Linked DNA regions of Macaca mulatta. The protein of the gene in region 4 interacts with the protein of the main gene of each other region in a pairwise test. Links are inferred from orthologs where the notes say so. Each region holds a gene or a part of one and is shown on either strand. Other genes may lie near its edges.

Region 1 (3,500 bases), on a different chromosome or scaffold from region 4:
ATTCATGTATTATATTTTTAATAAAATTTTCCAAAACTCACAGAGCTATTTAACCTAAATTTGACTACTTTTGTTTTTGTATTAAATTGAAAAAGTTCTGTTTTCCAGGGAAAATGACAAGACAGACTTGGATGTTATACGAGAAAATCATAGATTCCTATGGAATGAGGAGGACGAAATGGACATGACTTGGTAATTAGCCATCAGAGGCATAATGCATCAAATGCTTTAGTCCTGTTTCTCCTGTTTTCTGAGTGGTTTTTTGTCACTTAGTCAAGGTGTTCAGCCCCTTCATAGAACAGTTCAGAATCAAGGACATAAAATCATACCTAGGATTATTTGGTTCTTTTGGTAATTTTTGGCAGTTTTAACTGACTTCTCAGTGTTTGACTTAGTCTTCAAAAACATTATTTTTTACAGTATTGTGTGTTATCTTGTAATATGCTATTATATGCTGCTGCTTTAATTTTTAAAGTTTTGGAGAAAAGTCATACCTGAAAATGTTTTTTTAAATCCAAACATTACAAAGGGTAAACAGTGAAGAGTGATTCTCCTTCTCATTTGTGACTGTCATTCTCCAGTTTCCCTCCCTGAGTGAACCACTTTTAATAGTTAGTATCCAGATATTCCATGCACATGTAAGTAATAGTTCTCTTAAAACTTTAATATTTACGTCGTATGTATTCTTTGACATCACTTGAAAGTAGCAAACCGTGGTTGAGTTTCTAAATGTATATTTATATTTTTATGGATCTAGGGAGAAGAGACTTGCTAAGAAATACTATGATAAATTATTTAAGGAATACTGCATAGCAGATCTCAGTAAATATAAAGAAAATAAGGTATGCTTTCCACATATTTATAGAAAGAGGTTCTTATTCAAGTAAAATATTAACTTTTATTATACTGTCATGTCCCCCCTCCACATTATTCTTTTAAAGATGCTAATTCTAGACTCAGTTGTCCTGCATTTATGATGTGTCATTTGGACCATTTAACCTCTGCAGCTGTGGAGTTTACAAAAGGCCTATGGAAATTTAGAAGGAAATTTATGCTTTTTTTCTTTTGTGAGCTGAGGCATGAAAAGTCTAAAATTAAACACAAGTGGGTATTGGATCCTGTTTCATCCTGACTCTAGTCTAGAGCCTCTAGTGATTGTGATGAATGATTTAACTCTACAGAATAATATCTTATTTCACAGATGATGTTTGAAATTGATAGATTTTAAAAATTGATTACCATTTATAGAGATCCAGATGTACATCTTCTATTATGTAAATGTCTATTCTAGTAAAATTAACATTTCAATCAGTGCTAATTAGTAATGTCAGATTTCCTTTCCCACTTTACATCTTACTTTAGTTAATATTTTTATTTTTGGTTGGGTATGATGGCTCATGCCTGTAATCTCAGCACTTTGGGAGGCGGAGGCAGGAAGATTGCTTGAGGCCAGGAGTTCAAGACCAGCCTGGGCAATATAGTGAGACCTTGTCTCCACAAAAACTGGAAAAAATTAGCGGGGTACCGTGGTTCATGCCTATAGTTCTAGCTGCTTGGGAGGCTGAGGTTAGAGGGTTGCTTGAGTCCAGGAGTTTGAGGCTGCAGTGAGCTATGATCGTGCCACTGCATTTCAGTGTGGGTGACAGTGAGACTCTAAAAAATAAAAAGTTATTTTTATTTCTATCTCAAACGTCAAATTGTGGCTGGAAAAGGTGACCCAGGAGCAGATCTCAGTTAGAAATGTGAGAGGAGGGAAGGTTGCATAAATATGTGTTGTAGATACTGTATATTTGTATTAAGACAAAAACCTGTTTAAAAAGCTATCTTATATTTATGTATCATGAAGATTTCTTGTCATTTAAATCGTTTGATCTCATTAGAACCAGGTTGATTTAATAATTTTTTCAGTAGTGCCTTTAATAAGTGTGTTGCTTCACAGTTTCTTATAGAAAGTAGTAATAATGTTCATTTTGTATACCCTATTTATAAACCCATGCACTTAATATATCCCCAAAACTTCTGTTTCTTATAAACTAGTTGTGGACTCTAGTTCACAGCTGTCTTCTCTGTACCACATCTGATTCAAAAAGCACCACAGTAATTGGAGTTACCTAAAGTTACTATATTGTAAATCAAGTGTGAAAATTATCTCTTTCTAGGAGCATGTAACAAAGGAGCTTTTTCAGCCCTGGCTTATTCATGGATTGTTCTTAAGTTGTTGGGGTTTTTTTTCTTTTTTTCTTTTATTTTTCCCCACCTCCTATTACCATCATAATTCTTCAGTATTTTGTTGTTGTTGTTGTTCAGTATCTATTGAAACTGGACTAGGTACTGTGGATTAATAGTACTCTTAAGAAAAAACTAGTCTAGTTGAGGGGAGAAAATATACATAAATAAAAATTAAATAATTGAGTTCTCAGTTTTTTAAAAAAGAATACCACTAAAAATTGTACTTTAAAGAGAATAAGCTTGAAAAAAAATGTATTTTCCTGCTAAAACATGATGAGTGATTGTATTTGAGGGTAAATGCAGCAAGAAATCAGATATGACTCACAGATTCTGAGCACGGATGCTGAGAAAAATACAGAATTTGAAGGGTGATTTTTTTTGCTGGGGGGGAAGATAATGAGTTTGGTTTTGGTATACCATGTTCGAGGTGTTGGAGAAAGAGTAATGCCTTTGGTTCCCTCACTAGGATGCATTTTCTCTTCCCTTTATTTATACAAAGACAGTGTATTATTCACTTAATTAAAAACAGCTCCTAATATATACAGTAGATTCTTTTAGAGCATTTTTAGTGAATTTCCATCTTTGCCTCTTACTCCTATTCCTTTCTTTATTGCATTTCCCCTTTTTAGTTGGATCAATGTATCAGTTAGGATTAGGTCCAGCTGCAGGGACAGAGAACACTCCCCGAAAAAAACCACTGGCTTGAATGAGCTGGAAAGTTTATTTTTCGTATACATAAAAGTTCAAGTCGATGGTCATAAAGTCAGAATCCTTGTTTACTGCTTGCGTACGTGACCTCATTGTGATGAGTGCAGAGTGAGAAGAAGAGGCTCAGCACCAAATCCTGAATAACTTCAACTTTAATCCAAACTAGGACATTTATGTCAGGAAAGAATATACAGTCTTTAACTAGTAGGATATAATGTAATTTGTTTTGTTACATTTATTATTTCCTCATAAGATTATAACCTTCTTGGTGACACACTATTTTAATAATCACTTTTTATCCTCAGTGGAATGCCAAGCCCATTAGGTAGTTGCTTCGTAAGTTATCTGGTGAATAGATTAATGAATGAAGAAGTTTGGAAACTATTACTGTTACACTTGGCTGTGCTTCAGTAGACATCCTCACATATGTTGGATGCAAGCAATCTCCACATACATATATAGGCTAAAAAATAGAATTAAACAGAGTTATCCTGAAATTTTATTTTTTCCCCTAGATTTGGAGGATTTTATTTTTGTTGGGTTTTAATCAGAATATTTTAAAA
Region 2 (3,961 bases), on a different chromosome or scaffold from region 4:
TTACTCTTAACAATGGCATTGAGAGCTGGGTGTCGTTTGGCCACCATTGTGTCATCAGAGTCACTAAAATTGGTCACGGGAGCCACTTCTCGACAGTCCTTAGTGGCCTCATCCAGACTTGACTCAGAGGCCTCGCTGTAGCAGCAGGTATGCTCTGCCAGGTGAGTGAAGTCAGAACGACGCTTCCGACCTCGGCGTTTCCGAAGCTGCCTCCTCTGCTGCCGGGGGCTCAGGGCCATCTCCTCCCACAGCTCACCAAGCTTATTCTGCTCAGATGTCTGCTCCAAGGCTGAGGCTAAGTCGTGTACCAGCTCATCCATGAGGCCACATCTGCCAAAAGGAAGTTTGGCGGGGGGTGGGGGGGGGGGAAAGAAAAGAAAAAGAAAAAGAAAGCCTGAAAAGGATCTGTTGTTTCGGAATAATTTGATGAAACAGATCATGGTAGTCCACAGTACTGCCTGTCTAAATGAAATAAGTCACCTTTCATCTGGCTACACTTAGATTCTGTTCCTACCACTTCCTAAAGCCACTAAAAATAGATGTTTTGTCCCTTGTTAAACGCCTGAAGTCAACATATTCTTAAGCACAAAAACCTACTCACCAGATGACAACTGGGACAGGACCCAAAACAAATTCGGGGGACTAGATCCTTCTCACTTTTCCCCAGTTAAACTTGTCACTGAATTACCTAATGATGAGATCCAGAAAGATTAGAGACTGTCTCACTAGACAGGAGTAGAAAAACATACAACTTCAAAATCACACTAGAGTTGCAGAAACACAGAGCAGGACACGGTCTCATCGAGGTATTGAGAATGAATGAAAAACTGTTCTTTGGCCTGGGGTCACTGCTGACAATGACCATGGCAGAAAGAAACAGAAAGACAACTTAGTGATACCCTTTAAGGAAGAATGCAGTTTTCATGATCCAAGAAATTGTAGTGGCCAGGTTTGAAGTCAGAATGGAGAAGAGACTAAGTTTGCACCCATTCTGGTACCAACTACCACCTGGAAGCTACCAGGTATAGAACCTTATACAGTAGGTCATATATTTTTGAATAATTAACAATTTTTAAGCCCCTCTCCTACTCTTCAGAAAATAAATGTCCGAATGTCCGTCCTAGTTATGTGCTTCAGTGCCACACAATCACACAAAAATAGGATACAACAGCAGCTGAAATGACAGGGATAGGGTGAAGTTTCTAAGATTTCTGGCTGAACTGCTTTCCAAAATTTCTTATTTTTCTGTTTATCCTCAAACCAAACATCACACTTCAGGAGTCACTTCAGAGGCAAACATTTCAACAAATGAGAGTAGTAGGAACAATCTTCAAAATTCCCTCTTAAGGGGAAATGTTTAATTTGTATAGCAGCTAATTAAATACACATTAAACTTTTAGCACTTTTCCCTTGCCTCTATGCCCAAAGTATTTCAATATCATGTTAAAATTCTATGTGGTGCCGCTCTCTCACCATATTCCCATTCATTCAGTTTTCACTTTGCAAAGGGTTTTCTAAAACCTGTTTTCACGCTGTGCCTATGCCAATGAATTTAAAGACAGGAAAACAGTCCTGGGGCTTATCTGCCACACCTGTAGGAGCAATGGTGACACCTACTTCCAAAACTACCATACAAACGAAGCTTCTCAAAGTGTCCAAAGGCACATACATTTAAACAAGACCAAGTTCTTTTAAGCATTAAGAAGTGATTTATTAACAGCTGTGAAAAGAAGGGGAAAAAATGGAAAAAAAAAAAAAAAGTGGATTAAAATGCCATGATTGAGGTTTGGGAGACAACTGTCCCTAAGACCAAAATAAAGAAACAAGTGGGAACAGCATGCCTAAATCTACTTCCCTAATAAAGAATTACTGCTTTAAAAACTCAGGCAACTAAAATACAAAAAAATAATAATAATAACAAATAAAAACCTCAGGCAGAATAGCACAAACTTGAACACGGAACGAAGTCACCAAACAACTGGTAGTCGAATGCTTGTGCAGAATCCTTTCCTGCCTCAAAGCCTGTAATTCGAACAGTGGGTGACAGAAGAACCCTAGGGCTCCCCCCATCTCCAGTCGCGGGTGCACACTCTCGAGAGGACCCGGCGTCCAGGCACGCACCCGGGTAGAGATGAGGCTGAGTCACGCACAGGAAGGAACGGGTAGGGCAGCTGGTGGACAGCAAGTAAGAAGAGAAACAGGAGCAGGGTGGAAGTGAGGGGCGGAGTAGGAGGTGGGAGAGGCAGGAGGCAACTTCTCATTTGGGCTCACCAGGGGCGGGGGTCGGCTCTTCTAGGGCAGAAACTGAAAAAATGCAAGTCGTGGCGACTGAGCTCCCTCCGGGATCGGGGGTCGCAACACGGCCACATATGTGAGAAAAACTGTGTTTCGAAGGACTCTCCACCTCGCCCCGGCCCGTCCCTGAGGGCTGGGGCGACCATGGCTCGGGACACCAAGCCCTCACGCTGCCGCCAGCCCCAGAGAGGCAGAAAGAAGAAAGAGGAAGAGGGGGCTGTGGCCCCGAAGACGGCCCGACCCACATCCCCAGGGATGGGGACAAGGGCCCTGAAAAGCAAGACCCCACCACCCTCACCCTCCGGCCAGCTGCCGCAGCCCCAAGACGCCCTTAGCCGCTCAGCCGCGGCTTGGCGCTCCGATCCCCTCTGGTACTAGCCCCCAGGACCCCAACACTAAAACCACTCCTCCCCCTCACCAGCTGCCGCAGCCACCTCCAACGGCCGCCGCTTTTTGGGCCGACTCTCACCGCCAGGGCTTCCCTCTCTGACCTCATTTCCGGTCTGGGCCGGAGGGGTGGGGCGGCGGCGAGTGGGAGGGGCTGGCTGCAAGATTGGGCCCCTGACCCATTGCTTCCGCCCGTGGCCACACCCACTTCCGCCCCGTGGTGGGCGGAGCCACAGGAAGCCAGAAGATGGGGCAGGGGACAAGGAGGGGTGCTGAGTAAGGTCTGGCCGGGAAAGGGCGTTTCACGGGTTGAGGTGCCCATGTGGGGAAAGACCCCTGCATGCTGGCCTCATCTTCCTTAGGGGCGTCCAGAAATTGGGCGCTAGGCAGGGGTGTCAGCTTCCCCCTTGCTTTCTGACCTTTTTAATGGGCCTATGAAGTTGAAGAGAAAAGGATCTTAATGACGTCTACCCTGTGAGCTGGTACAAACATTGGGAGGGGTGGTTCTTCACTGAGTTACTCAGAACATTACAAATTGCCTTGAGCAATAAAACAAGTGATATTGGATTATAACTCAAAGTATAAAAGAAATATTCATGAGCCCATACCGATATAAATAAGTGATTGAATAAATTAACGAATGAGGAAGAAGAGATAAATCCCCCACAGAAGAATCTCAAATAACTTATGTAGACAGCCATCCTGGAGCATCACTTCCACCTCCTTAAATGTGGGCTGTGCATAGTGACTTCCTTCCCAAAAGTACAACATCTGTAAAGGGGAAAATGAGTGATTTTACAGTGGGGAAACCTGGCAAACAGTAATTCAGCCAGGTGATCAAGACTATGTGCTAAATCATGTTGATAGTATGTGGACTGATATATGATGAGAATGGCACTTTATGCTACTTTCCTAACAAATCTCATAACCCAGTCTAATTATAAGAAACAAATCAGACAAACCCTAATTGAGGGACATTCTGCAGAGTACATGACCAGTATTCTTCAAAATTGTTAAGATCAGCAAAGGTAAGGGAAGTATAAGAAACTCAGAGCCAGGAGAAGCCTGAGGAGGCATGACAATGTAATACGGTATCCTGGGTGTGACACTGCAATTAAAAAAAGAACATTAGGTAAAAACTAAGGAAATCTGGATAAAGTATCAACTTTAGTTAATAATAACGTTATCGGGCCGGGCGAGGCGGCTCATGCCTGTAAACCCAGCACTTTGGGAGGCCAAGTCGGGCAGATCACCTGAGGTCGGGGGATTGAGACCATCT
Region 3 (3,500 bases), on a different chromosome or scaffold from region 4:
TCACCTGAGAACATGAATGCTTGTGAGAGGATCTTGTTATATGAATATTCTGTACTGTAACAGTTCGCAGGCTGCAAGAACAGCCCACGGAAAAGTTAAAAAAATAATCAATCATTTGGAAATGTTCATGCAATGCCAGAATAGCTAAATGCTCCACCAGTGTGGATGTTGACATATCTGTAGCTAGAGAAAATTGGATGATAGACTGCAGTTTCCATCCTCACAGCCAGGTAAGTTGGTACCATGTAAACATGGCCTATCTGAGAGTACACACATCATCTCTTATGTCACTTTCCCGGTCCCAGTGGCTTTCTATAAAGTGCAGTCAGCCTGTGCATGACATGTCACAAACTACTTTTGTGCTGGATAAAGCCCCACGTGCCCTGCTAAGGTGAGAAGCTAGCTGATACAGGGGTAAGTGACAAGCCCAGAAATGTGGTCAGTGAATGAAGAGCTTTAGATAGTGCCAGTGCACCAGTGAGTGAAACACTCTGTGATCCATCAGAGGATAAGTAATGACCAGTGTGCCAAGTTGTTGAGGCAACTTATTGCTGCTGCTGCTGCTACTAGACCTAAAAAACCTTACATCTGGCTCACTTAGATACTTCTAAGAATCAAAATAAAAGTGTTTACGTTACAGTGCCTTGTCTAGTGAATTTCCATTATGCAGGTTCTCTTTAGTTCAGTTAAACATCCCTCAGGCAGATAGAAAGAAGTAGAACACTAAAAAATTCATTTTTGTACTTCTTAGCATATTTAAGCATCGTTGCACAAAAAAAAAAAAAAACACCCATAATGTAAAAAGATCCTGTATAAGCCATGCAGTATTACATTTGTCAATTAAAAAAACAATTAAAATGTCACTCTTTGAAACCTTTGGTTAATGATGATCTTTCTACACCAATTTTGTATCATCTGGGCTCCTAGAAGAGTTAATTGTATTCATACTTTTTAAAGATATCACAGCTTGTTTGTACATGTGCAAAAATAATTAGATACCAGAAATAATTTTCAGGAGAGCATTAATGTGCTCCTTTATCTTGATTATGTTGATATTTCACTGAGGATAAATTTGCCATAAGTTACTAGAGCTGGGTATGATTACTTTTTACTTGGCGTGTGTGTTTACTATTGATTCACATTCTGTTTTTTCGTATATTAAGAATATCTTCTGACCTACATTTCAGGGGTACTATGAGGGTGAAAGAAATTCTATATATTAATTAAGTCTTGAACCCTTAAGAGGAAAAATGGAATGATATGCTCAAAATTGTTATTGGTATTTTATACTGCATTATAAGATTTGATGTTGTGGATCACTGATGGTACGTGTTGTACATCTCAAGTTTATCTTATATGTAATGAAAAACACATTGAAAAACTCTGTTCATAGTTTAAGTCATACGAACACAATTTCATTTATAGAGTCCATGTTGGACTAAGTATTATATATAATAAAAGAACATTGCTATTGCCCTCAATAATTTTACTTAAATACAGATAAAAAGACCAATAAGTACACACATACTTCTACATATGCTCAGTTTGAGTATAAAATTTTTTATGGTCCAGTTGCTGAATGTTTGAATTTCTCAAATACTCATGTACTAGATGCCACTTTTTAAAGGATTACTATGTTCAATCTTACTTAGACCTCAAGTACGTATGCTCAACAACTTATGAAACAAAACTTCATATCTAAAATTGTTTTCTAGAGAGGTTTTGGTTTATCTTAAAATCATATTACAAGCAGTTAGAAGTTTTGTTAATATTTTATAAGAGGAAAATTACATGCTTTCCCAATTAGGTTGTGAGTTACCTGAAGGAAGATGAGAAAAATAAGAAACATATCTCCCCCTGTTGAGTTGCCATCAGTCTTACTGTCTTTGGTCTATATTTGTTCCATGTCTTGTGCGGAACCTGGAAAAGTAGTAACTCAATAATTGTGAATGATATGATTGCATGTGTTTGAATAAATGAGTTATTACCAATTCTGTCTCACTTTTTTTCAGACTCCCAGGAAGGAAATTACAAGTCAGAAGTCAACAGCAAACCCAGGAAAGAAAGGACAGCATTTACCAAAGAGCAAATCAGAGAACTTGAAGCAGAATTTGCCCATCATAATTATCTCACCAGACTGAGGCGATACGAGATAGCAGTGAATCTGGATCTCACTGAAAGACAGGTAAAGCTGGACATTGTCATTATATGATCTTTTTTAATTGCTCTGGGTCCACAGTTTTCTTTGCCATATTTGAAATACCTAGATCCAGAATTCTTCAATACCATTTGGAAGACAGGTATACTATTCCATGATAAAATTTTGCCAGCAAAATGACAAAATTAAAAATAATATAATGATATTTAAAAGAAAACCATACTTACTGAGTTTAAGAAAGAATCCTCCTATGATTATGATCCTTCTGTATTTTTTGGTTTTAAAATATTATTTCTTTTACATAATGATGGCATACAGTGAGGAACTGTGTATGCTTATATGCTAAAATCTCCTTATTTGGCATATGAGAAAGTTGGTAACCCCAGATTAGTTTTCTGTATTGCTCAGGATAGGGTATGTTACCCTGCAGTAACACGTTCACCCGTAAACCTCAATGGCGTAACACAAAAATATTCATTACTTACTCACTCTCCATACAAACTCTACATGTCCAGCATTCCAGATAATCGCTCACAGACCCATTCTGACTCTTTAACATCTCAACATGTGGTGTCTGTGGTAACTACAAGAAATAAGAAAGAATTGGAAGTTTATGCACTGACCTTTAAATGTTTTCACCTGGAAATTACCCATGTCACTTCTATTTACACACTGATGTCTAGAAGAGTCAAATGGTGCAGCTTAGGTGCAAGATGGCTGGGAAATGATGAAAGGCAAGGTCACATAGATCATTGGTAAATATTTCTGCCCCATTACCCAAAATATTTTTGAAATTGAATGGCTCTCAGATATTGAAAAATCTGCTATCCACTTAGAGAATATTTTGAAATTATTAATGTTTTTGGACTCTAATTAATGAGACCTAAATAATATTTTTAAATTAATTGCTTTTCAGGTCCCTTTCTTGCATTTTTTTAAATGACAAATGATTTGTTCTAAGAGTCTTCCCAGTGAACTCCTTGTACAGATTCTGGTTTCCCCAAGGAGAATCTAGCCTACTGCCGGTTAACAGTTGCTAATCTTTACAAAAACATTCCTGAAAGGCGAATGCAAACATCTTTATGGACAGTGCAGTTATGATTGGCACTCTTAGGGCTAGAGTCTCATTTCCTCTTTCACTGTGTGTACCTCCTCCAGGATCCCATTGGAACCAAAGAAATATCAACAGGGTGTGGACAAATGAATGCATGTCTTACTAGAGCAAATTATTTTATCCAATTTCTTAAATAATCTGCTTTCCTTCTGTTAATTTTTACATTTCAGCTTTGGTAGGTTATTTATGGGTAGTAGAAATATGCAGAGGAACACTTTTCTCTGGTTT
Region 4 (4,188 bases):
GAAGCAATAGTTACTTGTGACGAAGTAATGTAGGTTTGTCTAGCTGTACCACTCAGGGCTGAGAAGTCCTACACACATTACTCTAAAATTGGGGTAACAAAAACAGTACCTAAATGAAGTTATGGCAGGAAATCAGGTGTGAAAACATGAGTCATAAAACAAACAAGCTCTGAGCAGACCACACAGAGGCTACCCTCTCCTCCTCCTGGTCCCACTGCTCCAAACCCATCCAGGCCTTCACTAAGTAGTGCTATTTGTGCTGGCTGCCTTGCAGACAAATCTCCTTTACCTATGTCCAAAGGAAAGTCAAAATGAGAAGTAGGGGCAAGATATTTGTCAAACTAGAATCAGACTCCAAGAAAGTCACATCAGAAAAGTCAAACAACAGACATCCAAATGGTGGTGGCGTTGTTAGTATACACCAGGGGAAGGGTCAGCAAATAACTAAGTCAATTATTACTGAAGCTCTGTGGTCCTCTGTATGGTACTTAAAGCCTCTGACTCTCTTTCCCAATCTATAAAATGGGAATGGAAAACATATCAAACTCACAGTGTTGTTTGGGTTTTAAAGAGACGGTCCATGAAAATTGCCTAGTACAGTGCCTGGTATACATACAAATGTCCAGAGAATATTAACTATCAATCCTGGATAAATTAAAGTTCAAAGACACACAGAGACAAACAAGATTTGACAGTGCGACTTGCAGAGCCAGGTCTTCTGACTGAAAAGCTCTTTTCTAGTCAGTACAGAAGAGTGACACAGAGCCAACAAAAGTCCTTGAAGGCAGAACCAAACCACATCGTGGTGGGTGGGGAACCCACTGGGAGGCAAGGGCAGGGCATTTGGGTCTGACACTGACACTAGCGGTTATCTCTCTGTTCCTGCTTCCGAGCCTTTCCTTGTCCTTTGAAGCCCCCAGTTCTTTCCATCTCTAGGTGTCTCCGTCAAGGACAGACTTAAGACTCACCAGAAAGCAAGCCAGACTGCTGGTAAAGTTCTAGAGACCTGATCTGGCATCACCGGCTTTGCTCTATTGGCTTTGAGGAAGCCATCAAAGCAAATGAAGACTGGTCGTCTTCACTGCATCTGCTCTGCGTACAGAATCCTTCTCATTCTAACCCACCTTGCTGGCAGTAAGTGCTTAGACAAGCAAACTCAGCTCATCAATACCATGAGGTTCTTTGATGGGCGAAGAGATGTTTCCTTTCCTCAGCTCCCCTTACTTCCTCTCCGCCCCCGACTAAACTCCCATCTTCTCTCGGTACTTCTCTCACCTTGTACTCCTGCACCACCTCCTCCAATGGCACCACGCTGTGCTGTTTGTGGCTCCTGGATTCTCGGCACACCACACAGATGGCCTCTTCGTCTACCTCGCAGAAGAGCTTCAGGGCTTCTTGGTGTTTGGGACAGATGCCCTGATCACTCACACGGCTCCCTCGACCAGGGGTTGGGTGCATCTGCCGAATCACCTGGACCATATTGGCCAGCTGCAGGTTGGGGCGGAAGCTCCGCCGAGGAAAGCTCTTTCGGCACTGGGGGCATGTGAAGCACCTCCGAGGGGCTGGAGGCGGGGGCAGTGGGGTGACGGGGTCTAGATCCTCTTCCTCATCCTCCTCCAGCACTTCCTCCTCGTCCTCCTCATCCTCCCCCCTCAGGTCCTCCTCCATGTCCCCCAGGTAGTAGTCCAGGTCTTCTTCTTCGTCCTCCTCCTCCCACACATAGTCCATGTTGTCCCAGCTGGACCTGCTCATGCCACTGGTCCAGAACACACCCTCTTCTTCCTCCTCGACCTCCTCCTCCATGTCACCCTCGTAGTCTTCATCCCGCATGGGGGTGTCCCACCCCGCGCCAGCCCCCACAGCCTCCACTTCCTCCTCCTCTCCGTCCTCCTCCTCCTCCTCCCGATCTAACTCATCTCTGTCCTCCTCATCCTCCCCACCCCACAACTGGGTTACACAAACTCGGCAGAAGTTGTGCCCGCAGCCGATGGACACGGGGTCCGTGAAGTAATCGAGGCAGATGGCGCACACCGCCTCCTCCTGAAGGGTCTGCACAGGGTTGGGTGTCATGGCAACGGCAGCCATCTTAGTGTCCAGCCAGCCAGTGTAGAGGTGCGGTGGGGGGGCGAGGGGCGGGGGTCTTCCCCACCGACGCCCTGGCGACCCGGCTCCACCCCCAGCCCTGCCCCTCCACACCTCGCCCCAAGGGCAGCCAGAGAGATGTCCTCCCGCCAACCCACCCCGCCACACAGTGTTCCCTACTCCCAAACGACAACCGCGTCTCTGCGAGGGGAGGGGACAGTGCTGGGCACCACCGCCAAGTCCCTCAGGTGGCTCTGAGTGCAAATCTGCCCCTATGCTCCTTGGACTCCTCATAAACCCCCGCCCCTCCTCACTTCCTGGCCCCGCCCCTAGCTTCCGGCCTCCTTCCCAATACTTCCGGCGTCTACACACCACCTAAGCTCTCGACTTCCCTCCGCTGTCGTGCTACTCCCCCTTTTTCCCCCGCGGGGCCCCAGGGCGACAGGAAATGGCAAGGAGACGCTCTAGCCCGCACTACAGAACAGGGCGGTAGGGCTAGGACGGTGGAGGCCCACGTCTCTGTGGTGCGGGACCGCGGCGAACGCAGAAAGAACAGAGGAACCGCCTACCCCCATCCCCCGCCGCTGGGGAGAAACTTCGGGGGGTGGGGGGAGCGCTTGGTGGCCGTCTGCTTTCGGTGCTATGACCGCATCGGCCAGGCGCCATCCTACCCTCCCGACACAGCCGACTGCAGCCGGTACGCCGCACCGCCAATGCCGGAAGCGAGGGGGTGGGTCCGCGGAGCGCCCTGAAGTACTTCCGGCCCTTCTAGGCAGAAGACTTTGTTGTGGAGGACTCAGAGGGTCGTACGGCTCGGACCCCGGGCGGGGCCTGAGAAAGCGCTTGGCCGATCGGGCCGCAGACGCCCAACCCTTCCCCAACTGTAGTCGGCGTTCCGCATCCAAGGTGGAAACTGCCAACCGGACACAGTCTCATGGTTTAGATGAACTTCCCTAACTGCCCAGAAGTAAAGAAGTGGTGACGAATCATTACATCTACATTCGCACAGCATCTCCGCAAAAATAGATGCTTTGTGCAGTAGAAATAATACTTGGTGCTTAAATAGCTCTTTAAAATTTATTTTTATAGAGATTTGATGTCGATACATAATAAAAAACAAATAAATGTTGTTTGATGCGAGGAAAATGACGAGGCAATGATTTATGTACAGAATCTCCAGTGAGTGCCAGACACGGCGTGACGCCAGGGCTGGGCCTGCAGGACCTACTTACCCTGCTCTCGGAGAGGCGGCTCGCGGGAAAACTCCAGGGGGACGTCGTGCTTCCTAGAGGGGCCTGGTCAGGCCTCTGAGGATGTCAGATCAAACGCGCCAAAAACCACGAACACTCGTGGGTGAACTATGCTCGGCCATTACAGGAGCTGCGGACCCGGCTGCGGTAGACAAGTCTGGCTCCAGAACCTGGACACCACTTAGCCGGCCGCGGCAGGGGTCCCTGGGTCTGTCCCACGAGGGCGAGGGCCTAGCGCCTTCCTGGCCTTCGCAGCCACGTGTATCTTCAGGACGATGCTGGAGGAACGTTAGCTCAGGCAGTTTCCGTAGTGTAGTGGTTATCACGTTCGCCTCACACGCGAAAGGTCCCCGGTTCGAAACCGGGCGGAAACACGTTTTTTTTGGGCCTGTTCAGGAGAATTTCTCTCCCGAGGCCAGGTCACCCGGTTGGAAGGACATGTGTGGCCTGCGCTTCGGAGGAACACGAACTCATACCACGTCCTTAATAAATTCTCGCAGTGTAAATTCAGGTTTTACACCTCACCTAATCTCTTGCTCTTCCCTTCTGAAGCCTATGCAGCCATCACATGCAAAGGAATCCGTAGATTTCAGATCCTCGGCCCTAGTACCTAGAACAGAGCCAGGCGCAGGCGCTTCTTAGTACTTGTACAGTGGAAACGTGCCTACACCTCTGCGGGCAACCTCCGTCTTCAGAGACAAAGTTATAACGTTGGCCAAGCTGCCCGGCTAGCTCAGTCGGTAGAGCATGAGACTCTTAATCTCAGGGTCGTGGGTTCGAGCCCCACGTTGGGCGGAGTTCCTTTTGGAAAGGGTAAGGCAAGCCGTGTTAGTTAAGTGCACGAACGGTATCTTCT
Region 5 (3,500 bases), on a different chromosome or scaffold from region 4:
CTCTCCTCCCCTCCTCTAAAGCTGGCCGGCCGGGTGGGTTCGAGTGTGGGTGTTAGGCCTGGATGGCGAATGGGAGACAAACCGACCAAGCGACCTGAACATAAAGAGACTCGCGTAGAAGCCGTCGGGGCCGCCGCCCCCACGGGAGGAGCCTCTGCCACAAGGCCGGGCGGGCAGCTCCACCGTGGGGCCCGGGAGGCGAGTGTGGGGCCGGGGCGCCGTCACTGCAGAGCCCTGACGAGGTAGAGCTTCTCCCCGTGCTCGCTGGTGAAGATGGGCGCCTTTTTGTAGTGCTCCACCAGCTCGTCCATGGTGTGGAAGCGCCGCTGCCCAATGCAGTAGACATTGTCCACGAGCTGCACCTTGAAGTGTTTGTTCTTCCCTGACGCTTTAAGGGACACGGAGAAGTCGCTGGGCTGGGGAGGAAACAGAACACAGTTACAGCCAGGCCCACAGCTGGGAGCTGTGTCTAAATCCATCCACATCTCCTGTGTGTCTAAATCCAAACCACCCATTGCTCAAACGCTGGGTCTCTGGTTTTTTGTTTGTTCTGAGACGGAGTTTCACTCTTTTGCCCAGGCTGGAGTGTAGTGGCGCAATCTAGGCTCACTGCAACCTCCGCCTCCCAGGTTCAAGCCATTCTCCTGGAGTAGCTGGGATTACAGGCGCCCGCCACCACGCCCAGCTAATATTTGTATTTTTAGTAGAGACGGGGTTTCGCCATGTTGGCCAGGCTGGTCTTGAACTCCTGACCTCAGGTGATTGCCCCACCTCCCCGCCTCAGCATTCCAAAGTGCTGGGATTACACGCATGAGCCACCACGCCCGGCCAGGTCTCTGTTTTATATCTAGAACGGCATCTGATGTTCAGAAAGACCTGGAGGCAGTCCATGATTCTGAAATTCTGAACCAAAGAAAAAATAAATTCTGCTTAGCCCAGTTTCAGTGCTAAATGCGTTTTAGTTATTTGAAAAGTGCAAACTCATTATGGAATATACAGTGTTGCCCTGACTGCTGAAGAAATTTGCTGTTTTTCATTTCCCAAACTATTTTTTGATAAATTGGGAATTTATTAAGAGTGGTTTGTATGCAGGCAGTGGCTAGAAATTTTACTATTTCTGATGTCTAACACTATTAGAAATTAAGACGTCAAAATTTTTCTAATTCTTTTTTTTTTTTTGAGATGGAGTTTCGCTCTTATTGCCCAGGCTGCAATGCAGTGGTGCGATCTTGGCTCACTGCAACCTCTGCCTCCCGGGTTCAAGCAGATTCTCCTGCCTCGGCCTCCCGATGTGCCACCACGCCTGGCTAATTTTTCTAATTCTAAGCATTTGAAAATATGAACAGCAGTGGAAAATTCCAGATGCATTTTAAACTTAGTTCACAATATCCCAGAGGAAGCTGAACTATGGTTTGATTATAGATTTTATTGAAAAATATTTAAATTCTGTGATGTCAGTGCCTTACATTTCAGAATATTTTAGAAACATGTCATTATTTTAATCAAAATGCATCTTTTATTGGCCAGGTGCAGTGGCTCATGCCTGTAATCTCAGCAATTTGGGCAGCTGAGGCAGGTGGATCACCTGTGGTCAGGACTTTGAGACCAGCCTGGTCAACATGGTGAAACCTCATCTATACTAAAAATACAAAATTAGCCAGGCATGGTGGTACGTGCCTGTAATCCCAGCTACTTGGGAGGCTGAGGCAAGAGAATCGCTTGAACCCGGGAGGTGGAAGTTGCAGTGAGCCAAGATCACACCACTGCACTCTGGTCTGGGCGACAACAGAGAAACTCCATCTCAAAAACAAACAAAAAAAATGTGTGTATATATATAGAGAGAGACAGAGAGAAAGAGAGAGAGAGAGGTCTTTTATCTCATTTGGTGAAAAACATGCAGGAAAGAAGATACTAAATGATAAATATTCTTTGTACAAAAATATCAAGTTTTGATCAATTCATTAAATGAATAACAATTAGTTACTAACACATGCCAGGCAGGCGGTACCCTGGATACGTGTGTGTGCATGCAGGACAAATGCTCTGTGACAATCCAGTGTGGGGAGCAGATAAATAGAGGTGGACAGATGGCTGCATAGGGCAGTAAGTTCTATGAAAAAAAAAAAAAAAAGAAAACAACAACAACAAAAAACAGAGTTGCATGAGAGAGGAGCAAGAGGTACCAGAGCTCTGTGTGTGAGTGTGTGCAGATATGAGAGGGAGTATGTGAGTATTGAGGGTGTGTGAGAGTATGTGTAGCGTGTGAGTGCATGTGTATGAATGTATGAATGTATGTGCACACACAGGTATGCACTGGGGGGCAGGAGAGCCCTCTGGACAATGTGGAGCTGAGCCTGTGCTCTCCGAGGCAGGGCTGGTAGAGACTGCTCGGGAAATTGGCACCTTGGTGAAGAAAGGGAAGCAGGTCCTGTTCTGTGGCACTAAAGAGGCAGTGTGGCTGGTGGAGTGGAGGAGGGAGTCTGGTCTCCCTCAAGGGCCCAAGAGTAAAATTCACCTACCCAACTGGCCTCTGCCTGTAGTTCCAATCCATCAGACTAAAGGATTTCCCACCCCCAGTCCCAATGTCACTCCTGTTCGTGGTGTTCTTGGGGCCATCTTCTGTCTCCTCATGATCAACTGTTCCCTTAAGGCTCAGCTCAAAGGCTATCCCGCTGTTAAGAAGCCTCACTGACCCCAAACAAGGTAAATCCTCTACCCACTGGCTTGGTAGCTAGCACCAGGTTCATGCCTGGCCAGTGGCAGGACCACAGCCTAACATCTGAAATTTTTAATGGAATTCCCAGACCAGCTTTCTGCTTTTCTCAAAGCCCAGGAACTTCCTGCTCTGAGGGTCCAGCAGTTCGACCCCGCTCTGCGACCTCCCAGCAGGACCTGAGACAGTTAACAAAGGCCTAGGCCATTGTCTATTACAGAGTTCACAAAAGCCCAAATATGTTTGATAAGAAGTGTGCAACCCTTGCAAAACAAGGAATCACTCCATTTATACCAATGACAACTGAGGGGAATGAGTGCCTGAGAAGACTCGAATTGTGCAAGGCAGCTGGGCTCACCCACCAGCCACAGCTGTTAACAGAAAAGAATGAAAGGAACAATTGTAAGCATAGTTTGTATTTATGCATACCTTTGTCCCAAATAGACCAAATAAGAACAAACCTTTGAGGGGAAAAGCCCCATCTCATCGCCATGTGAGGCCCAGGGCATGCTCCTGGATGAAACTCCAGGAAGAAATCAGAAGGTTAATCTCAGATTAGGCCTCAGCCTATAGATGATTAATATTCTGTAAAGATGTATATTCTGTACTAGAAGTCTGTGCCTTTAGGAAAACATGAAGGGCAGTCTCACAGAGTTTACTATCAGCCAGGCTCAACTTAGAGATAAAGTGGCATCATTTTTAGTGGAGGCAGTATGGGAGTGAATCATGGTAAATATATGATACTCCCAATTTTAATTAAGCCAAATGATCAACAGATGACTTTCTA
Region 6 (4,118 bases), on a different chromosome or scaffold from region 4:
TATACGCTTCTGTTGCTTTGTTTTTTCCTTGCTTTGTTTGTGTGTTTTGTCCAATTCTTTGTTCAAAACACCAAGAACCTGGACAACTTGCAGTCCAGACCCTCCTCTAGTAACAATGTTATATAAGTATTTAGTTGATGTTAATCACTGGATGAGTTCTTCCTGCCTGCTGCACAAACAAAATCAATTCAGGAAGTCTACAGTATTGCAGTAAGGAAAGAATTTAATTGATGTGAGGCTGGCCACGCCACATGGGAGATGGAGTTATTACTCAAATCAATCTCATCGAAGGCTAGTAGGTTAGGGGTTTTTCAAAGGTAGTTTGGTGGGCAGGGGCTAGAGTATGGAAAGTGCTGACTGGGTTGGAAATGAAATCATAGGGGGTTGAAGTTATCCTCTTGTGCTGAGTTGCTTATGGGTGGGGCCACAGGAGAGGTGGACTGGTCCAGGTGGAGCCATCAGTGTCAGGCATGCAAAAATCCTGAAAAAATGCCTCAAAAGGCCAAACTTAGGTTCTACAATAGCGATGTTATCTGCAGGAGTAAATGGGGGTTGTCTGTTTGGTGGCCTCCGGAGTAATTGCTGGCAATGGTCTCTGTCTACACCTTAGCAGACAGAATTCACACTCCTCTATCCTCCTAGCCTGGTGGTCTCTCAGCTTTACAAAGGCAGTCGAGTTTTGGGGAATAGCTATTATCATTTAAACTATAAACTAAATGTCTCCCGAAGTTAACTTGGCCTGAGCTCAGGAATAATTAAGGGCAGCTAAAGGCAAGATGGAGTTGGTTAAATCAGATCTCTTTCACTGCCATAATTTTCTCAGTGTTAGAATTTTTGCAAAGGCTGTTTCATTAGTACCCTACTCATTTAGGTGAAATGAACAATGTGTATTTTATGTGTTCCAGATGTGTATCAATATCACATAACTGTCAGGGCCCCAGGTATCTGTCCCTGGTTCAGAAAGATCATGAAGATGAATACCGCGATGCGGACAGCTTGCCCGACTCAGCGAACTCAGAACTTGTCCTCAGTAGCCAGCCCCTATGGGCCAAGGGGTTGCAAACTTCCACTTGCCGGCAATTACACCTGTTTCCATCATTCTCCTTGCTGTACCTTGTGGTGGGAGCAGCTTGGGAGTCAATCAAGAGAAAGCGACAAGCGTCTGGAGAGCGCGGGGTGGGGTCTCTGGAGAGGAGGGCTGGGTGGGAAGAGGCGCGGCGGGAGGCGGCGCCCCGGCTCGCATTGGCCCAGTCGGCGTCCCTCCTCTGGGGGCGGCCGGGCGCGCCCGGAAAAGTGGCTTTGCCTGGCGGCGAGAGGCAGAGGTGCCCTCGGTAATAGAAGAAACATGGCCGAGTATACGCGGCTGCACAACGCCTTGGCGCTGATCCGCCTCCGAAACCCGCCGGTCAACGCGATCAGGTAACGTGCTCGGTCGCCTCCAGCCCGGGGACCGTGCGGGCCTTACCCGCCCTCCGGCTCCGGAGGCTTTGACTCTCCCCCGCTGGTTTAAACCGAGAAGGACACTCCGAGTTGAGCAACTGGTACATGCCAGGAGCCCTTTTTTTTCTTTTTCTTTCTTTTCTTTTCTTTCTTTCTTTCTTTTTTTTTTTAACCTAGATTAGCTTGGTTAATCTTCGTAGAGAACTCTCGTCCCCGTTTTGCTGATAAAGAAACTGAGGCTGAGACAGATCAGCACTCAGGGAGTTGGCCTTGACCTGTTCCTTCATGCAGAGTCCTCCTGCTTACTTGCAACTTTGGCTTTGCAGGTCGACTTTCTAATCCAAAGGTCTTAACTTAGTTCGATGTTGAACTTTGATCCAACCTCACTCCCCAACTTTGAGTCCAGGCTGCCCTTACAATGTTTGGCTAAAGGCTTTAGGAATAGGGCAGTAAAATGGTTTAACATTTAAAAATAATAGTAAAAGTCCCACTAATGCCAGCGCAGTGATTAAAGCAGAATTGTGCCCTGGTCCAGAAACGCAAAATTATTTCTCCTGATTTGTTTGAACCTCAGGACTTTGGTGCTTCCGAGGAAGACTCACATCAGACTAAGCCTATGTAATAGCATTTTCTGAAAAACTGCACCTTGTCTTCTTTTTCTCACTGGGAAGTATTTGCCTTGTGTGGTGCACTTAAAACATTGAAAAGTGAGATCAATGTTGCTTTTTTGAAAAGTAATGAAGTTATTCGGTTTGGTCATTCTACATCTCTTTAAAAAAGTAGTTATACATCAGCCTTGAAAAAGAATTACCTATCCACAGGGAATAAGATTAGTGGAAATCATAATTTACCAAGAATATATAAAGCATAGAGAGAAAGGTCTTTAGTCAAAATTCTTATCACATACTGCTGAAGCAAAGAGACTGAAATGAGAAGACCTGCTAATTTTAATACAATTTAAAAATCCTACTGTCATCAGATTTGATTTATCATTAGTATTAATATTAATTCAATGTGAATTATTACATTTAATAATGCCAAAAAAATGCAGGACTAAAATCACATAAGGATGACATGTCTACTAACTTGCCATTCCCAGAATAAAAAGCAAAATATCTGTTATGTTGGTTTTGACAAAGAAAAATGTAAGTAATTTGATTACTTGTCCATTTTGGACTGGTCTATATACTGATTAGAATTGCTAGATACTAGGACCTTAGTGGGAAAAGTTCCATACTCTAATACCCATGACTAGGAATGTTTTCTGACAACTGTTCGTTTTTTTTTTTTTTTTTTTAGTTTATTTGTTTGTTTTGGACGGAGTCTTGCTCTGTCACCAGGCTGGAGTGCAGTGGTGTGATCTCGGCTCACTGCAACCTCTGCCTCCCAGGTTCAAGTGATTCCCCTGCCTCAGCGTACTGAGTAGCTGGGCCTACAGGTGTGCACCACCAGACCCAGCTAATTTTTTGTATTTTAGTAGAGACAGGGTTTCACCATGTTGACCAGGATGGTCTCAATCTCCTGACCTCGTGATCCACCCACCTCGGCCTCCCAAAGTGCTGGGATTACAGGCGTGAGCCACGTGCCCAGCCTCTGACAACTGTTTTAAATGTTTCTGGAATTTAACCTGCTCTCCCTGCCCACCCATGCAACTGCCTGTGCCACCCCCAGCCCCTTTGCAGGAGAAATGTTAGGGCCTACCTCATAAAGTTGTGAAGTTTAAATCAGCTGGAAATTATAAAGTGGCATTTAATAGATGTTAGTTATCATTCCTATTAGTCAGAAGACCTATTCAAGCCCCTGACAACAGGCCCTGCTACTCAGGACCCACTTCAGTTTCATCAAGAAGATATTCTCCACTTGGGAATAAGTACTTCTCTGCCCTTTTTCGTCTGTCTTCTGAACTTTTTTTAGGTAGAAATGTACATCCTAAGAGTTCCTCAAGTTTAACAGATTCCTCAATTTTTTTATTACACTTTTCTTTCTTTCCTCCCTTTCTTCCTTTTCCCCTTCCTATTTCTAATTTTATATGGGAAGTTGTATCTTCCTAGCTGATTGAGAGATTCTTACTTGAGTGTAACACACACACATACACACACACATATATGTAAATTTTTTCCCCAAAACAAATAGTTTAAATCCTTCATTGCTAGTTTAGCAGCCATGTTTGCTTCCATTCAGATAAACACCAGCCCCCTTTATAAGCGTAGGACAGGCCTGATTAATAGGCCTGTCTCCCAGAACAATGGCTTTCATACTATTGCTTTACTGTAATCCACAGACTAAGAAAGCTCACGTTTTTACATAGCAATTCAAGATACACTTACATACAAACACGTAACTGAAAACAGTTTTCTAAAACAAAACCTATCCTTACTTGGTGTATTGTTTGATACAGTCTATTTTCTCTTCTTGTCCTTTGAAAAAATCCTGGTCACAAGCCACAAACTTGATTGGATGACGTTTGGTTAAAAAAAAAAAAAACTGTCTGAAAAAAAAAGAAAGACCTCCTATAGTCAAAGAAGCTGAAGAGTTTTGGTCAGTAGTCATGAAATGCTGTCTCTACTCCAGATTCTATTTCCTTATGCCTGACAGTATTAACAGGAAAAATAATTTCGTAACCTCTGCGGCCTTTACATTGCTGTGACTCTCTCTGTCAGCCTGAATCTAGTAAAGTG
Region 7 (4,279 bases), on a different chromosome or scaffold from region 4:
CAACTGGACTTTAATACTCCACTGACACCCCAGAGTGAACACTTCCCTGGAAACACAGGTAGCACTGACCCAAGGCTCAGCATTGTGGCCCAAAGCCCACACTGCCAGGCTTCAAGCCCACACTGCCGGGCTTCAGAAACACCTAAGGTTGGGCCTCAGCTCTAGCACACGGGCCACAGGTTTCTCATTCTGTCCGCAGAGGCCAGCTGAAGGTCAAGGTCCACAGTGGGTGGAACCTGTTGACAAGATGTCCACAAACCCATCTCCAACCACAGTACTCACAGGACAGTGAGGAAGAAGAATCTAACCCAAAGCAGACTCTCACTTCCTGATTGCCAGAGGTGTGCCAAGGCCAGGCACTATGTGGGTCTGAGATGGATCCCCCAGCCCCTACCTCACCCAGAAGTGGGACGTGCAAGACCCCTCCCCCAACGCGGGAATGGCAGACAGGAAAATAGAAAAACAGAAAGTTTACCTGTTGTGGACTTTTAGATAATATTTGCTGAGGAACTTTTTATGACATGTGGGGCATTCGACCGGCACCGCTGTACCTTTTCTGTTCTCAGCAGGCTCAGCTGCTAGGGAGCCCGCACTCAGGGCTGGCTCAGCTGCACAGGCCTTTCGGATTACATTTGACTTCCTCCTGGTCAGCACAGCCTCAGGCTCAGACATGTAATCACCATCCCCGTCGTCCTCCACTTGAACCACCACTTCCCACTAGAGCACAATAGGCAGCAGGAGGGGGTGGGGTCACCAAATGAATCAGCAGGAGTTGTAGGGACCCAGCTCCAGTTCCATCCCAAGCCCCAACCCTGACAAGTCCCTTCATCAGACACTGTTCCTTCAGGGGCCCAAGGCAGAGCATCTGAGTCTTGGATTCAGAGGAAAGTGACTGTATTTGTGGGGAACTGGAAGCTCGGATGGAAACACTATCCTGGGGAAACACCTGTAACCCTGATGCTGCCCACTCCTCTCAGGAAGGTGGCAACCATGAATAGCTGGGGCTTGCAGAAAGGTCAGCCTGAGATCACCAGCTTCCTTTGTTTGGAGAAAGCCCGTTCCAAACCCACATTAACAGAGATTGTCTTAAGGTCCACTTTTTTTTTTTTTGAGACAGGGTCTTGCTCTGTCGCCTAGGCTACAGCGTAGTGGCACCATCTCAGCTCATTGCAACCTCCACTTCCTGGGCTCAAGTGATCCTCCCACCTCACCCTCCCAAGTAGCTAGGATTACAGGTGTGTGCCACCACACTCGGCTAATTTTTGTATTTTCTTTGTACAGATGAGGCCTCGCCATGTTGCCCAGGCTGGTCTCGAACTCCCAAGCTCAAGTGATCCACACCCACCCTGGCCTCCCAAAGTGCTAGGATTACAAATAGACTTCGTCCATCCCTGTCGTCCTCCACTTGAACCACTCACGTGAATGAGCCATCACACCCAGCCCAGGGTCCCTATTATACCAAAAAAAGTGTCTATTCCCTCCATTTGTCTCCCCAGTCCCAGCACCCTGGGCACAGTACCTCATTACTCCCGCCCTGCAGCTGGCCACCTTCAGCCTCGAAGGGCCTTGGAGGCATTTTGCAGTCCTCAGGTTCCTTGTCCTCGGGGGAACAAGGCTTCAAGGCCTGCTTGAGTTTCCCACAGAGGGAGGAGGGACTCTCTCTCTGAGCTGGGGAATGGAGCTGGGGCCTCTGAGGACTATGACTGCCTCTGGGCTCCTGATCTCTGGGGACTAGACCCAGAGTCCTCGAAACTTCCTCTTCTTGCAAGCCTGCCGGCTCCTTGAGGAGGCTGTTCACATTCTGGGAGGCAGGGGGCCCCAGCCCACTCTGGCCACCTGCTGCCTGTCCCACTGAAGTTTTGGGCTTGAAGCTCTGGCACAGCTCTACGGCCTCTGGCACTCGCAACTCCCTGGCTGCCAGGAGCACCTGATCCCGGTTCCCTGAGGTGAGAGCGAGGTGACCAGTGTAGAAAAAGTCCAACAAGAGGCCAAAGATCTCAGCGAAGCCAGCAGGGAGGACGACACTACCTCCTGAGCCATCCCCGTAGAGGCTCTGGAAGAAGTGGCTGCAGCAGGCAAGGACACTCCAGTGCGCCTTAAACACCAGGCCCCCAACGTCCAGAGTGGCGTCGCAGTACTGGCCCTTCTCCCGCTGCTTGTTGAGCTCCTGCAGAACCCTCACACTGTGCTGGACGAAGGAGCCGTCCATGGTCTGGAGGGCAGGGAGGCAGAAGTGACACCCTGGCCAGCCCAAGCGAGCGTATGCAAGAGAAAGCCCCTGGAGTCGAAGAGAGAGAAAGGGGAAGTTGGCCTCCACTCAAATAATCACATTTATCAGCACGAGGGCTTGGGTCAAGGTGAGGGGTGCACGCGGAAGGCAGGAACATACTTGACAGCCTCCCGGGGACCGGGGGCCATATTGGGTTGGCCAGGGGGGATGCTGATGGGGGGGTCAGGGTCATGAAGAAGGGCCTGGTGGGAAAAATCCAAGTTTGGGGAAAGAAGGCACGGGATGAGCGCGAACTGACTGGCCTGGCACAGTGAGAGGATCCTGGACTGGGGAGGACGGCGGCCGCGGACAGGTAAGCGGAGCCCACGCCGCGCCCACAGGTCCCGAGCGGCCGAGCGGAAGGCAGCCACGGCGGCCCGCAGCCCCTCCCTCCCTCACCTCGTGCCCTCCTCACCCAGGCAGGTCCTCCCTGAGCTGGCCCCACCAGCCCCCGGCTCCGTCGCCTCCACAGCCCACGAACCAACTGCCCGGCTATGCGTGCCCCGCCGACCGTGCGGAGACGCAGCCGTCTCCGCGCCGGACGTGACGTCAGAGCGTGCCGGCCAGGAGGGGCGCCTCGGAAGCGTAGATCTTCTAGCTCCGGCACCCGAGGGCGGGGCCCCGCAGAGAACGGCCAATGGGATGAGGGGATGAGGCCACGCCCTGTTCTTTTGGCGCTGGGCCCGCCTCCGGGGTTGCCTAGCAACGTCAAGCTGGGCACCAAGCCTTTTCCAGGTTCTGGGTTCAGACTTGAATCCGCGGCACCTCACCCTCTTCCCCGACAGGAGACCAGATACGCATTTCACTTCTTTATTGGCAGCCCGGAGCCTGGTCTGGGCTCTCCCGGGCGCTTACACGTCCCAACCCCAGACTGAGGTGCCCAAAGGCCTCCCAAACAGCCCTGGCCTGCTTGACCTTCGACCCTCAGGACAGAGAAAGCTACCAGCTATGCCTGCTGACCCCACTGGTCAGGTGGAGCCGCGGTGCCTCGTGTAGTCCTGAATGGAGGCCTGGAAGTGCTCTGTGCTGTTGAGGTCTGGGCGGCAGAGGATCACGTAGCACTTGGGCAGAAAATACCCGCCGAAGCCGCTGCTCAGGCTGCTCAGCCCAGCCAGCATGTTGACCGCGGGCAGATACTTGCCGTCGTAGACACTAGCCGTGGTGAAGAAGGCGATCCAGGACATGAAGTTGAAGAGCAGGCTGAAGGTGACACATTTGGCCTCGTTGTAGTTCTCTGGCAAGTCCTTGCCCAGGTAGCTGCAGGCAAAGGCACTGATGGAGAGAAGGCCATTGTAGAGAAAGGCCAGTATGAAGCCCAGGGAGTTGGCCTCTGTGCACTCAAGCATCACCAGATGGGGGAAGCGCTGGTATTCCCTAGTGGGCAGTGGAGTCCACACCACCAGCCAAGTTAGACAGATAAGCAGCTGAGCCGCTGAGCTGATCATCACAAACAGGCCAGCACCATGGTTTTGGACCCAGACGCGGTAGAAGGTAGGTGCCTTGGCGGAAAACTTGAAGATGATGATTAGTTGGAAGGAGCGAACTGTCAGGCAGGACAGGAAGATGGTGAAACCAAGGGCAAAGAGGGCCTGGCGCAGCAAGCATGCAGGCCTCGTGGGCTCCCCAAAGAAGCCATAGAGGCTGCCGCTACCTGCTGCCAGGGAGCCCAGCATAAGAAAGCACAGGCGGCCCCCTGCTGACCTCACCACAGGGGTGTCTAGGTGCCAGGCAAACAGGCCAGCAGTCCCAAGCAGCAACAGCAGCAGCAGTGTGTTAGCTGCCAGCAGCACCCAAGAGGTGTGCTCTTGACAAGCCAAAAACACCACAGTGCGTGGGAAGCAGGTCTGGCTTCCCTCAGGTGCCCACTCTTCTTTCCCACAAGGCTGGCATCTGTAGAGGTCTGAAAGGGAAGGCCAAGAAGGTTCCTGAGAGCCAGATGAGCAGAGTAGGAATAGGAAATAGGGGCCTGCAAGATACTGGGAGAATTGTACCCAGGCAGCTAGACTGTGC

The links.
Region 1: the proteins of TRIM41 (region 4) and FRA10AC1 interact in binary tests that used the Homo sapiens proteins (3 or more experiments, as listed by UniProt). The two-hybrid records come from large-scale screens. The link is inferred for Macaca mulatta from reciprocal best matches to the Homo sapiens genes TRIM41 and FRA10AC1.
Region 2: the proteins of TRIM41 (region 4) and GPATCH2L interact in binary tests that used the Homo sapiens proteins (3 or more experiments, as listed by UniProt). The two-hybrid records come from large-scale screens. The link is inferred for Macaca mulatta from reciprocal best matches to the Homo sapiens genes TRIM41 and GPATCH2L.
Region 3: the proteins of TRIM41 (region 4) and MEOX2 interact in binary tests that used the Homo sapiens proteins (3 or more experiments, as listed by UniProt). The two-hybrid records come from large-scale screens. The link is inferred for Macaca mulatta from reciprocal best matches to the Homo sapiens genes TRIM41 and MEOX2.
Region 5: the proteins of TRIM41 (region 4) and NCK2 interact in binary tests that used the Homo sapiens proteins (3 or more experiments, as listed by UniProt). The two-hybrid records come from large-scale screens. The link is inferred for Macaca mulatta from reciprocal best matches to the Homo sapiens genes TRIM41 and NCK2.
Region 6: the proteins of TRIM41 (region 4) and EHHADH interact in binary tests that used the Homo sapiens proteins (3 or more experiments, as listed by UniProt). The two-hybrid records come from large-scale screens. The link is inferred for Macaca mulatta from reciprocal best matches to the Homo sapiens genes TRIM41 and EHHADH.
Region 7: the proteins of TRIM41 (region 4) and ZBTB48 interact in binary tests that used the Homo sapiens proteins (3 or more experiments, as listed by UniProt). The two-hybrid records come from large-scale screens. The link is inferred for Macaca mulatta from reciprocal best matches to the Homo sapiens genes TRIM41 and ZBTB48.

What each region holds. Positions count from the first base shown.
Region 1 is NC_133414.1:105,636,547-105,640,046, reverse strand, and holds part of FRA10AC1 (protein FRA10AC1), read left to right. Parts: intron 1-108; coding exon 109-192; intron 193-757; coding exon 758-842; intron 843-3,500. UniProt on the Homo sapiens protein: May be involved in pre-mRNA splicing.
Region 2 is NC_133412.1:149,363,467-149,367,427, reverse strand, and holds the start of GPATCH2L (G patch domain-containing protein 2-like), read right to left. Parts: upstream 2,801-3,961; 5' UTR 2,714-2,800; intron 331-2,713; 5' UTR 321-330; coding exon 1-320.
Region 3 is NC_133408.1:112,640,795-112,644,294, forward strand, and holds part of MEOX2 (homeobox protein MOX-2), read left to right. Parts: intron 1-2,012; coding exon 2,013-2,185; intron 2,186-3,500. UniProt on the Homo sapiens protein: Mesodermal transcription factor that plays a key role in somitogenesis and somitogenesis and limb muscle differentiation. Required during limb development for normal appendicular muscle formation and for the normal regulation of myogenic genes.
Region 4 is NC_133411.1:190,264,930-190,269,117, reverse strand, and holds the start of TRIM41 (E3 ubiquitin-protein ligase TRIM41), read right to left. Parts: upstream 2,801-4,188; 5' UTR 2,377-2,800; coding exon 1,276-2,376; intron 1-1,275.
Region 5 is NC_133418.1:13,989,773-13,993,272, reverse strand, and holds part of NCK2 (cytoplasmic protein NCK2), read right to left. Parts: intron 417-3,500; coding exon 222-416; 3' UTR 1-221. UniProt on the Homo sapiens protein: Adapter protein which associates with tyrosine-phosphorylated growth factor receptors or their cellular substrates. Maintains low levels of EIF2S1 phosphorylation by promoting its dephosphorylation by PP1.
Region 6 is NC_133407.1:97,414,896-97,419,013, reverse strand, and holds the start of EHHADH (peroxisomal bifunctional enzyme), read left to right. Parts: upstream 1-1,318; 5' UTR 1,319-1,345; coding exon 1,346-1,419; exon of another isoform or gene 1,420-1,541; intron 1,542-4,118. UniProt on the Homo sapiens protein: Peroxisomal trifunctional enzyme possessing 2-enoyl-CoA hydratase, 3-hydroxyacyl-CoA dehydrogenase, and delta 3, delta 2-enoyl-CoA isomerase activities. Catalyzes two of the four reactions of the long chain fatty acids peroxisomal beta-oxidation pathway.
Region 7 is NC_133406.1:234,203,605-234,207,883, forward strand, and holds the start of ZBTB48 (zinc finger and BTB domain-containing protein 48), read right to left. Parts: upstream 2,801-4,279; 5' UTR 2,669-2,800; intron 2,279-2,668; 5' UTR 2,210-2,278; coding exon 1,520-2,209; intron 718-1,519; coding exon 476-717; intron 1-475. Other genes in the region: TAS1R1 (taste receptor type 1 member 1), read right to left, coding at 3,238-4,169. UniProt on the Homo sapiens protein: Plays a critical role in transcriptional regulation and chromatin remodeling. Acts as a regulator of telomere length. Directly binds the telomeric double-stranded 5'-TTAGGG-3' repeat.